Linked DNA regions of Mus musculus. The protein of the gene in region 2 interacts with the protein of the main gene of each other region in a biochemical or structural test. Links are inferred from orthologs where the notes say so. Each region holds a gene or a part of one and is shown on either strand. Other genes may lie near its edges.

The links. The genes of interacting proteins can lie anywhere in the genome.
Region 1: the proteins of Apoe (region 2) and Lrp8 form a complex in vitro, tested with the Homo sapiens proteins (2 studies listed by BioGRID). The link is inferred for Mus musculus from reciprocal best matches to the Homo sapiens genes APOE and LRP8.
Region 3: the proteins of Apoe (region 2) and Ldlr interact in a biophysical measurement, tested with the Homo sapiens proteins (2 studies listed by IntAct). The link is inferred for Mus musculus from reciprocal best matches to the Homo sapiens genes APOE and LDLR.

What each region holds. Positions count from the first base shown.
Region 1 is NC_000070.6:107,868,212-107,871,777, forward strand, and holds part of Lrp8 (low-density lipoprotein receptor-related protein 8 isoform a precursor), read left to right. Parts: intron 1-766; coding exon 767-939; intron 940-1,800; coding exon 1,801-1,977; intron 1,978-3,566. UniProt on the Homo sapiens protein: Cell surface receptor for Reelin (RELN) and apolipoprotein E (apoE)-containing ligands. LRP8 participates in transmitting the extracellular Reelin signal to intracellular signaling processes, by binding to DAB1 on its cytoplasmic tail.
Region 2 is NC_000073.6:19,696,366-19,700,586, reverse strand, and holds the start of Apoe (apolipoprotein E precursor), read left to right. Parts: upstream 1-1,398; 5' UTR 1,399-1,576; intron 1,577-1,965; exon of another isoform or gene 1,966-2,063; intron 2,064-2,113; exon of another isoform or gene 2,114-2,183; intron 2,184-2,188; exon of another isoform or gene 2,189-2,333; 5' UTR 2,334-2,356; coding exon 2,357-2,399; intron 2,400-2,939; coding exon 2,940-3,108; intron 3,109-3,483; coding exon 3,484-4,207; 3' UTR 4,208-4,221. UniProt on the Homo sapiens protein: APOE is an apolipoprotein, a protein associating with lipid particles, that mainly functions in lipoprotein-mediated lipid transport between organs via the plasma and interstitial fluids.
Region 3 is NC_000075.6:21,744,029-21,747,594, forward strand, and holds part of Ldlr (low-density lipoprotein receptor isoform 1 precursor), read left to right. Parts: coding exon 1-35; intron 36-201; coding exon 202-357; intron 358-1,703; coding exon 1,704-1,877; intron 1,878-2,333; coding exon 2,334-2,411; intron 2,412-3,120; coding exon 3,121-3,278; intron 3,279-3,566.

The DNA of each region.
Region 1 (3,566 bases), on a different chromosome or scaffold from region 2:
TATTTTTCACCAGCCCTAAAGTCTTTGACTCAAACCTGTGTTGTCCTTCTATATCCTCTTCTAGAGACTCTCTTTGTTGGATGGGGCCTCAGAGTTGGAAAGACATGCAGTTTGGAGGGAGGGTGGCCTTCTTAAGAGTTCCAGCAAAGCAGCAGCATTAGGGTACAGGTGTAGGCAAATACTTCTCAGCCATTTAGCAAGTGTCGCTGAGCTATTAGACATGAGCACAGAGAATAAACAAACACTCAGGGCTGGAGAGATGGCTCAGTGGTTAGGAACGATGGCTGTTCTCCTAAAAGACCAGAGTCTATTTCCCATTGTCCATGTCTACTGGCTCACAACCAACTGTCACACTAGTTCCAGGATATAGGATGCCTTTTCCTGGTCCCAACCCATACCTGCACATGCATGTACATATGTATACACTCAACAGACACACAGACATACTACATACACATAAATACACATAAATAAAAATGATAAAAATCACTTTTTTAAAGTTAGCACAGCCCTCAAAAGCTCAGTCCAATTGAGAGAACAGAGAGTTAAAAATCGTGTGGCCTGGGAACACACCTAAGGGGGAGGCAGGGTCTTCCCAGAGCAGTTGGGAAAGAGGTCACAACAGATAAGAATTCATAAAGAAACACAGTGGTGACTCAAAATGGAGCCCGGAAGCAAGGGGTTATACGGTCTGGGAGGGGGCAGATGGGTGTTGATGCTGGGCCGGAGCCCCTGGTTGTTCAGTGTGATGTGGCCTTCCCTCCAGTGGTAATAGCCCTGCTATGTATGAGTGGGTACCTCATCTGGAGGAACTGGAAGCGGAAGAACACCAAGAGCATGAATTTCGACAACCCAGTGTACAGGAAAACGACAGAAGAGGAAGAGGAAGATGAGCTTCACATAGGGAGGACAGCTCAGATTGGCCACGTCTACCCCGCAGTAAGTACTCCACAGCGCCTTCCCGCCCTCCTTCCCTCTCCCCCTCCCTCCTTCCTTCCTTCCTTCCTTCCTTCCTTCCTTCCTTCCACGTTATCAGGAACCTCCTGCATACCAGGCACTGTTTTGGCTCTGGGAGAACACAGCCATGCTGAAGCAGGCGGTGGGAGGAGCAGAGTGTCAGGATTCCTTTTACCTGCAGGGTCTCCCTGGCAGTTAAGCAGCCAAATGACTTTCTGCAGAAGGGTAACTGGCTGAATTCCAACAAGCTCTGAATGCCAGTTAAATGCCAAACCCCACATTAGACATCAGCTTCCCAAGTCGTTGCTGGGGTGTTAGAGATGCTCAGTGCCATGGGGTGGAAGCTGAAGAATCTATCACCCTAGGACGCCTTCCTAGGCTTGCTTTCTTCTCCCACAGTTTCCTGGGCCTCTCCATCCACAATCCCCATACCTTTTGCTTAGCAGTTAGGCCACTAGACTGTGGGGTCCCTGAGGGCAGGCTCTGATGTGGTCTCTTTGCCTGGGCTTGGCACAGCACAGCTGGCTTTAACAAATGCTGAAGGATGGATGGTGTAGAAGCACAGCCATGGGGCTGCTGGTTTGTCTGGGGATCAAGTGCATAGGATGACTCCCAGTAACACACGAGCTGTGTCTTTATTAAAAAAAAATAGTAATTTTCAGGTAGGGAAGAATAGAGCTGACATTCCAAAGAGAATCATGTGGAAAGGCTAAGAGGCATGAGAGGGCGTGGCTTGTTGGGGAGCGAGGATTATGAAGCGGTTAGAACAGGTGTCGTTGTTGCACAGCAGAGTCAGGGGGCTGAGTATGACCTCAGAGGTCATCCAGTCCATCCCCCTGTCAGGCAATCAGCAACTATGATCGCCCACTGTGGGCAGAGCCCTGTCTTGGGGAGACCAGAGACCTGGAAGACCCAGCCCCTGCCCTCAAGGAGCTTTTTGTCTTGCCGGGAGAACCAAGGTCACAGCTTCACCAACTCCCGAAGAACCCTCTTTCCGAGCTGCCTGTCGTCAAGTGCAAGGTAGGGCAGTGCCACTCTGAGCCTGAGGGGCTGGCGAGTGAGGGCCTTAAACCTAGGCAGCTATAGAAAATCCTAGCAGGCTTTCTGATTTTAGAAGGCTTGATATCGGGATAGAGGAAACGGCATGTTACTGAATAATGTTACTGAATGCGTGGCAGACAAACTGCTCTTGAAGCAAACTGTTTGTAAAGGAGAGATGTATGAAACAAAGTTGTTCAGTGCTGTGAGGGTCAGAAGATGGTCCTGAGGCTCCGTCACCGTGGCCAGTGCAGGCAAACAGAATTTTAGCGATCAGAGGTCACAGGAAGCCTAGAACTTGGAGGGAGAAGATGGCTCTGTCCCACTGTTCCCACGGCCCTGCAGTCTTGTCTGCTTACCTCTGCTAGTGAGGTGAGAGTGGAAACCCTAGTCTCTGCTTCCTGAGGTTAAACCGTTTAGGAGCATCTTGTAAATTACAAATCAGTCTAGGCTAAAGAATCATCATTTCCAGGGAAGGAAATGATGCAGGGAACTTAACTCTGATTAATAAGGCAGATCTGAGTTCAAGGCCTGCTGGTCTACAGAGGGAGTTTCAGGACCAGGATACACAGAGAAACCCTGTCCTGTGTGATAAGCTCCTGCTAGTTGCAGAGAAATGGAGTAAGCAAAAGTACATTTGGCAAGCACAGTGTGTCAGACATTGCTTTCTGTGTGTCATGTCTTTCTCATTTAGTCTTCACAGTTACCTTTGGAGGTGATAGTATTAGTTTCATTTACAGTTGAGAAAACTGAGAGCCACAGGATTTAAATAACTTCCCCGAGATCCTAGGCAGAAAGTGGCAGAACCAGGAGTAACTCCAGGCAGTGCACAGAGGCCCGAGTTCCCCCCACTCTGTCATGGGGTACATGTCCTCCAAGCTCTGGAAATCAGAATTCCCAACCTCCAATCTTCTGTCCTTTTCTCCTGTAGCTTTGCCATCACTACTAGGGGCCTATCTAAAAAAAGGCAATGGGTTTCTTTTGTTTTGTTTTGTTTTGTTTTTGTTTTTGTTTTTGTCATATGTAGCATGTCCAGAGTTGGAAAATGCTTACTTTATGCTGGTTAGGTTTCGCTAGACTACTTAAGACACCATACTTGCTAGCTAGCATGTCAGAACTCCAGATACATTTTTTCATTGGGTTTCTCACCCATCCTGTGAAGTAGATCCAAGCCTCACTGACAGCTGATGAAACTAAGGCTTAGAAAAGCGCAGTGAGGCCACCCTCAAATCATACAGTCTGAGGGGGTAATGCAGCTCTCAGCACCATGTAAGGAAGGCGGCAGGAAAGGGGAAAGTGGCAGGCAGGGTTCACTCACAATGAGCTAAGGAACGTGGGATGTGCATCCTAGAAAAGGGGATCGCTTGTTCAAAAAATAAGTTTTGGGGCTTTCCTGCCCAGAACTCCGAGACTAATGCAGACCAGGGAGCATGAGAAGATGTCAATCACACAAGTATAGGAAAGAATTTCACCCTAAAGGGAACAGAGCCATAGGTTAGCCATTTGAGGCAGAAGAGAGTTGAGCATCCAGTAACTGGGAGTAAGGGACGGGGGGGGGGGGGGGGGGGGGG
Region 2 (4,221 bases):
CCATGAAAATCATCTCACCACACCCAGTCCTTGCCAGTGTTTTCTGAAGCCAAAGCTAACAGGCCTGGGCCTGGCCAGGCACCCTGTACGTACCCTTGGAGCCAGGTGTTCCGCCTCTGCCCATCCTGCAGAATCATGTTTTGCCGTGTCTGGTGCCAAACACTGCTATGTGGCTTCTCTCCTGCCATCAACAGCTGGGAACAGGGAACCTTGTGCAGGCAGTGCTTCTAGCAAGCTTGCTGTGGTCTCTGAGCCCCTTGTCCTACCTGACTTCCCAGGTACAATGGCTTTCCCACTTTTTGGGGGTTTTGTTGTTGTTGGGTTTTTTTTTGTTTTTCAAGACAGGGTTTCTCTGTGTAGTCCTGTCGGTCCTGGAACTCACTTTGTAGACCAGGCTGGCCTCCAACTCAGAAATTCACCTGCCTCTGCCTCCAAGTGCTGGGATTATGGGATTAAAGGCATGTGCCACCACGCCCAGCTGGCTTTTCCACTTTTTAGCCAGGACTTCATTCTATTACCTGAGCTCGGGATCTTCCTGCCTCAGCTTTGCATATGGCTAGCACTATAGACCCATGTTCCAGTGAATGACTTATGGCTTGTCTTTTTTTTTTTTTTTTTTTTTTTTTATGTGCATTAGTGTTTTGCCTGCATGTATGCCTTCGTGAGGGTAGCAGATCTTGGTGTTACAGTTGTGAGCTGCTGTGTGGGTGCTGCGATTTTGAACCTAGGTCCTGTGAAATGCAGTCAGTGCTCCTAACCTCTGAGTCATCTCTCCAGCTCCTGCTCTTCTGCTTTTATGAGGAAAAAGAAAAGAGAAGTGGCTTGAGAGTGGAAAATGCACATGCAGGGGTGCACACCTGCAGTCCCAGCATGCTACAGCAGAGGCAGAAGGACCTTTGTGGGTTAGAGGGCAGCCTGAGAATCTTATCTCAAAACAACTTTTTAAAATGTGCTCTGTAGGGGTAGCTCTTCCCTCCCAAGGTGACACATCTGGCAATCGCCAGAAACAGATCAGGAGCATCAACGCTTGGTTTCCCAGGGCTTGGCTTAATGTATGGCTTCAAACCCATCGGGAGCCACCACTGAACAGCTCCTGAAGGAACTGGAGCACGTCCCAGCCTTGGAATGGAAAGAGTTCACCTGTGGTGGAGGAATCAACAACGAGGGATCCCAGAACAACGATCTTCACCCCAGAAGCTGAGCCTCTTAGCCCCCACCCACCCATTTCCATTTAGGCTGCCAGCTCTTTTCTTTACAATGCACCAGACCCCGCGGGGAAAGGGAAGGAGCGGTTCTCAGTGCCCCAGTACCAAGGCCTGGATTATTCAATGAGGTGTCCGCTCCCTTTGTTGGCGGGGGAGGGGAGCGGGGGGTCACAAGGCATCCAAACTCCACCTCTTTCCTCTGCCCTGCTGTGAAGGGGGAGAGAACAACCCGCCTCGTGACAGGGGGCTGGCACAGCCCGCCCTAGCCCTGAGGAGGGGGCGGGACAGGGGGAGTCCTATAATTGGACCGGTCTGGGATCCGATCCCCTGCTCAGACCCTGGAGGCTAAGGACTTGTTTCGGAAGGAGCTGGTAAGACAAGCTGGGCTGGGGATTCACCCAGGGACCTTGGTAGGATGTGGGCTGGGAACCTTGAGATCCCCCGGAGTCCAGGAAACAGGCACAAGAATTGGAAAAGCAGGCAGCACGATAGAAGTCTTGGGGGACAAACTAAGGACTCGAGGTAACTAGCCTTTGCCAGAGTCAGAGCAGGTGGAGGGGTTACCTCCAGGAAGGAGTACGGGACTGTCGGTGCACGGCGTACCGGCTCAACTAGGAACCATCCTATGGCGAAAAAACTCGGGATGAGCCTTAGGCTGCTTTTATATAAATACCTACTGATTTCCATCACAGTCCCCAAGTAACCCGGACTGGTTTCAAACTGTGGCTCCTCATGGCTGAGCTCCCTAAGTTCTGTAGTTGTGGGAGGGTACCACTTCGCAGGGATGGAGGACGATTAAAAATCGTGTTAAATTAACACAAAATGGAAAGCAGGACTTAGCCGGGAAGAAAGAGGAATGTAAGCTGGACCACCCGCTGGCCCTCTGTGAAGTGGAATTTGAACCCTAGGAGAGGGAGCTGGAATTTTTGGCAGCGGATCCACCCCGGGGTGCCGAGATAGCGAACTCGGCAAGGGGAGGTAAACAGACCTTTGGGAAGAGCGGGTGCTCTGTTTTGGAGATGTTTGTGATGGCTCACAGATCTGAGAAGGGAAGATGGGGTTCTCTGGGTGGCCGGAGTCCCTCCACCCCCGCCCCCTGGTGTTCAAAGACAATTTTTCCCTCCGCAGACTGGCCAATCACAATTGCGAAGATGAAGGCTCTGTGGGCCGTGCTGTTGGTCACATTGCTGACAGGTATGGAGCAAGGACTTGCTGTGGTGCCGCTTTTTCTGCTCCTCTGTGGACTCTATTCTAGCCCTAGATCTCTTCTGCTGGTGGGTTGAGGCTGAGGCGGTTCTGAGACCTCTCTGAGATTCAATAGCCCTGAGCAGCTGTTTTATATACTCTTTAGGCCTTGATTTCCCCTAACTATAAGAGGATTGATGGCTTAGTGGGTAAAGGTGCTTATCATAAAGCTTGAAGACTTAACTCTGAGACCAACATAGTGGAAGGAGAGAGCCAATTCCCTCTAGAACTCTGACCTCCAAGGGTACACACACACACACACACACACACACACACACACACAATAAAAAGTTGATTTCTTAGTTGCTCTTAAAAGTGGGGTATACATTTTCTAATTCCACACCTGCCTAGTCTCGGCTCTGAACTACATAGGATACAAGACAGTGCATGCTTGTAGTATCTAAACAGACTCCACAGCCTCCAGACCCACTTCAAAGAGACCCAAAAAGACTGTAGGTCCTGACCCAGCCTTAAACTTACTCTACACAGGATGCCTAGCCGAGGGAGAGCCGGAGGTGACAGATCAGCTCGAGTGGCAAAGCAACCAACCCTGGGAGCAGGCCCTGAACCGCTTCTGGGATTACCTGCGCTGGGTGCAGACGCTGTCTGACCAGGTCCAGGAAGAGCTGCAGAGCTCCCAAGTCACACAAGAACTGACGTGAGTGTCCAGCTCTTTCACCCTCGGCAGGCACCAGCTGATCCAGGGTTGCCTCCTATCTGGGTCCCCAGCCCCTTCTTGTTTCCTTTCTCAATTAGTGTGTAGCCCAGGTTGGCCTTGAATCCTCCTGCCTTCTTTAGCCTTCTGGATGCTGGGAGGAACAGACATTTATTACTTGCTTGGTCGATTGGCTTTTGGCTTCTTGAGACAGGATCCCATTCTGTAACTCAAGCTGGCTTCGAAGGCTCTGCAATTCTTATGCCGCAGCTTCTCAACTTCTGGGAACACAAGCGAGTACCATCACCTCTTGCTCTGTGGTTTCTGGCCCTTCTGTCCTGCCTTCATCTCCTTCCTGTGTTTCCTCTGGGCCTGCAGGGCACTGATGGAGGACACTATGACGGAAGTAAAGGCTTACAAAAAGGAGCTGGAGGAACAGCTGGGTCCAGTGGCGGAGGAGACACGGGCCAGGCTGGGCAAAGAGGTGCAGGCGGCACAGGCCCGACTCGGAGCCGACATGGAGGATCTACGCAACCGACTCGGGCAGTACCGCAACGAGGTGCACACCATGCTGGGCCAGAGCACAGAGGAGATACGGGCGCGGCTCTCCACACACCTGCGCAAGATGCGCAAGCGCTTGATGCGGGATGCCGAGGATCTGCAGAAGCGCCTAGCTGTGTACAAGGCAGGGGCACGCGAGGGCGCCGAGCGCGGTGTGAGTGCCATCCGTGAGCGCCTGGGGCCTCTGGTGGAGCAAGGTCGCCAGCGCACTGCCAACCTAGGCGCTGGGGCCGCCCAGCCTCTGCGCGATCGCGCCCAGGCTTTTGGTGACCGCATCCGAGGGCGGCTGGAGGAAGTGGGCAACCAGGCCCGTGACCGCCTAGAGGAGGTGCGTGAGCACATGGAGGAGGTGCGCTCCAAGATGGAGGAACAGACCCAGCAAATACGCCTGCAGGCGGAGATCTTCCAGGCCCGCCTCAAGGGCTGGTTCGAGCCAATAGTGGAAGACATGCATCGCCAGTGGGCAAACCTGATGGAGAAGATACAGGCCTCTGTGGCTACCAACCCCATCATCACCCCAGTGGCCCAGGAGAATCAATGAGTATCCTTCTCCTG
Region 3 (3,566 bases), on a different chromosome or scaffold from region 2:
CATTGTCCTGTTCCACAAGGTCACACAGCCTAGAGGTAAGCTCGGCCCTGTCCCAGAACTTTTTAGATTCTTCTGGCTTACTCTGAAGATGGGTTCAATGCGCTTCCTGTACCCAATAATAAAATTGTCAGCCATTTTTCTTGACTCTGCCCGTCATCAAATGTTGTCAGTTTATTCTCCATGAACTTCTCTTCCTCCCAGGGGTGAACTGGTGTGAGACAACAGCCCTCCTCCCCAATGGTGGTTGCCAGTACCTGTGCCTGCCCGCCCCACAGATCGGTCCCCACTCGCCCAAATTCACCTGCGCCTGCCCTGATGGCATGCTGCTGGCCAAGGACATGCGGAGCTGCCTCACAGGTAGGGGCACAAGTCCCCAGAGGTGGACCCGCATGAGCCTGCAGAGGCTGACCAGATGTCCAGCTGTCTGGAGACTCATGAGTGAGGTTCTCTGCCTGTCTCAAATGAAATTACTCTTAGGGGTTCTAGTTGTCTCTAAGCTCTGTGTGGACGTTGTCTGACTTCAGACCAGGGTATCTGGTAAGAAGACCCCTTTTTGCTGATGTCATCTGAGAAGGGCTCAGTTTGAAGTTGTCTCTGTCTGTGTCCTGTTGCTGAAGCAGATTCCCTGAGACTGGATACTTTATAAAGCATAGTTCATGTAGCTCTTGGGTTTGGATACGAGAGGTCTTAGCATCTGGTAGACATAGGGGAGGGTGTCACACAGTGACTCAGAGCAAATATTCTCATTTTATTTATTCATTTACTTAAAGGACTTTTTTTTTGGGGGGGGGCGCATCTTTTGAGACAGGGTTTCTCTGTGTAGCTCTGGCTGTCCTGGAACTCACTGTATAGACCAAGCTGGCCTCGAACTCAGAAATCTGCCTGCCTCTGCCTGAGTGCTGGGCGTGTGTGCGCCACCACTGCCCGGCCTGTTGTGTTTTTTAAGACAGTGTTACTCTTCGTAGCCTTGGCTGTCCTGGAACTTGCTCTGTAGACCAGGCTGGCCTTGCACTTAGAGATCCTCTGAAGTGCTGGGACCACTGCCCGGCTCACCTCATTCACTCTTAGTCACCTCTGTAAGGTTTCACTGCCAGGCATCCTACCCACGAGGGGCCACGGAGAAGCTCCTGAAGAAAGGTGCCTACCTGCATTTGATCCCGGAGAGCCCACTTGATAGAAGGAGAAAACGAAATACCAGACTCTGCTGTGACGGCCACATGACCTTAAATCCCCAGCACTCTGGCAGGCATATCTCTGAGTCTGAGGCCAGCCTGGTCTATATTGTGAGTTCCAGGGACAGCCAGGGCTACATAGTGTGACTGTGTCTCAAAAACAAACAAACAACAAAGTTTTTTTTTTTTTTTTAAATCTCTCCTCAGTAAGAATTTGGTGGTTAGGTTTCCAACATAGATTTTTGGGGTCACGCTGATCTCAGGGACCAAAGTGCACTCACCATTTGCAGGTCCTATTGTAAGAACAGGACACCAACACTCTGGAGACTGGGGCAGAGGGATGACAAGTTTGAGGTCCCCCTGGAATAATCCTCAGGAATGACACAAGGGACAGTGTCACCAGCTATTTACCCATTTAGTTTGCTCAATTTCTGATGCCATGGAATTTGGTGGCCTGCGTTCCACCCAGAGCAGAGGTGTCAGTGTGGCACCCGGCCCCTGGCCCTCAGGTCATGTTTATTGTCCCATCAGAAGTCGACACTGTACTGACCACCCAGGGGACATCCGCCGTCCGGCCTGTGGTCACCGCATCAGCTACCAGGCCACCGAAGCACAGTGAGGATCTCTCAGCTCCCAGTACTCCTAGGCAGCCTGTGGACACCCCAGGGCTCAGCACAGTGGCGTCAGTGACAGTGTCCCACCAAGGTACCGGCCAGGCCCAGCCTTCATTTCATAAGTACTGCATTTTTTAATTACAGTGATGTGATGTATTTGTGGGTTTGGGGAATTGGCCACTCTGCCTGTGGGGTCAGACACAGCTTGTGACAGTATGTTCTGTCCTCCTTCCATGCGGGGCTTAGGATCAAACTCAGGTTAGCAAGCTTGGCAGCAAGCTTCGTTACTCTCTGAGCCATCTTGCTGTGTTAAGTGTCTATGTGGGTACAGTTTCTGTGCAAATGTCTGGCATCTCTAGGGATCCTAGAACTGTCCCCTGTGTACACTGGAGGCCAGCTGCCTACAGACTAAGTCCACATGACTTTGTAGGGACCTTAGTAACATTCCCAGGTTCCCCTGAACTTTAACATGGTGTTAGACATGTCCTGCCCTGTCCCCTCTCTGATGTCTTTGAGCCTCCTCACCTTATCCTTTCCCTTTTTGCAGTCCAGGGTGACATGGCTGGCAGAGGGAATGAGGAGCAGCCACATGGTATGAGGTTCCTGTCCATCTTCTTCCCTATTGGTAAGTGTTGCCTGCAGTGCTAACCTGGCCATGTCACCTTTCTGACAAAAAATGGAATACCCCTGCCTGAGGGATGCCCCTGCCTGCCTCGAATCACTGCCCCCTTCTCACTCATTACAAATAAGATGGAGTGGAGTGTCCCTGGTGGTGGTGATGAAACACAACTTGAGTTTTCTCAGGGCCAGCCTGGTCTACATACAGACTTTTAGACCGGCAAGGGAGTGGGGTAGACAGTGGATTTCTTTCTCAAAAAATAATTGTGATCCTGTGTGAAAAAATCATGGTGGTTCATACCTTGAATCTTAGCATCCAGGAAGCAGAGACAGGAGTTTGAGGCCAGTCTGGTCTACAGAGTGAGTTTCAGGACAGCCAGAACTACACAGTGAGACCTTGTCTCAATAAATAAATTAATTAATTAAAAAGAGCAAAGTTGACAGAGAATCTCAAAAGTTAGAACCAGGGTCAGGCTATGGGGCCCAGGCTGGCTCAGAAGTCAGCATCCTCCTGCCTCATTCCCCTGAAGTGTTAGACTCCCAGTGAATGCTATACCAACACACACTCCCTTGGTTTTTTTCTTTGTATGATAGGTGAGTATAATTTTACATTCAAAACATATCGCTGTCACATGAAAGGGCCAGGATGGACATGCCGGTAGCTTCACTGGCACGGGGTCTCCTGAGAGCCCCTGACCAAGCCCCTCTCCCCACAGCACTGGTTGCCCTCCTTGTCCTTGGGGCCGTCCTGCTGTGGAGGAACTGGCGGCTGAAGAACATCAACAGCATAAACTTTGACAACCCAGTCTACCAGAAGACCACAGAGGACGAGCTCCACATTTGCCGAAGCCAGGATGGCTATACCTACCCCTCAGTGAGTGTGCCCTTTGTGGGAGAGATGAGACATCAAATGAGGTGAAGGACAGAAGTTAGGTGGAGTGGAAGGAGAGGAAGCCCAAACCAGGGGCATGCACAGCTCAGTGGTAGAACCTGCCTAGGCCCCCAGTGAGGGCTTAGGGTGTGCCTCACAGTAGCAGGAACATGCTAGAGCCAGCTGTATGTGGACCGGGGAGGAGGTCTCCTCTGAGTGGGGGTTGGGAATAGAGGAATCAGTTCATTGCAAAGACCTCAAATTGTGATAAGATTGGGCACAGTGTACTTA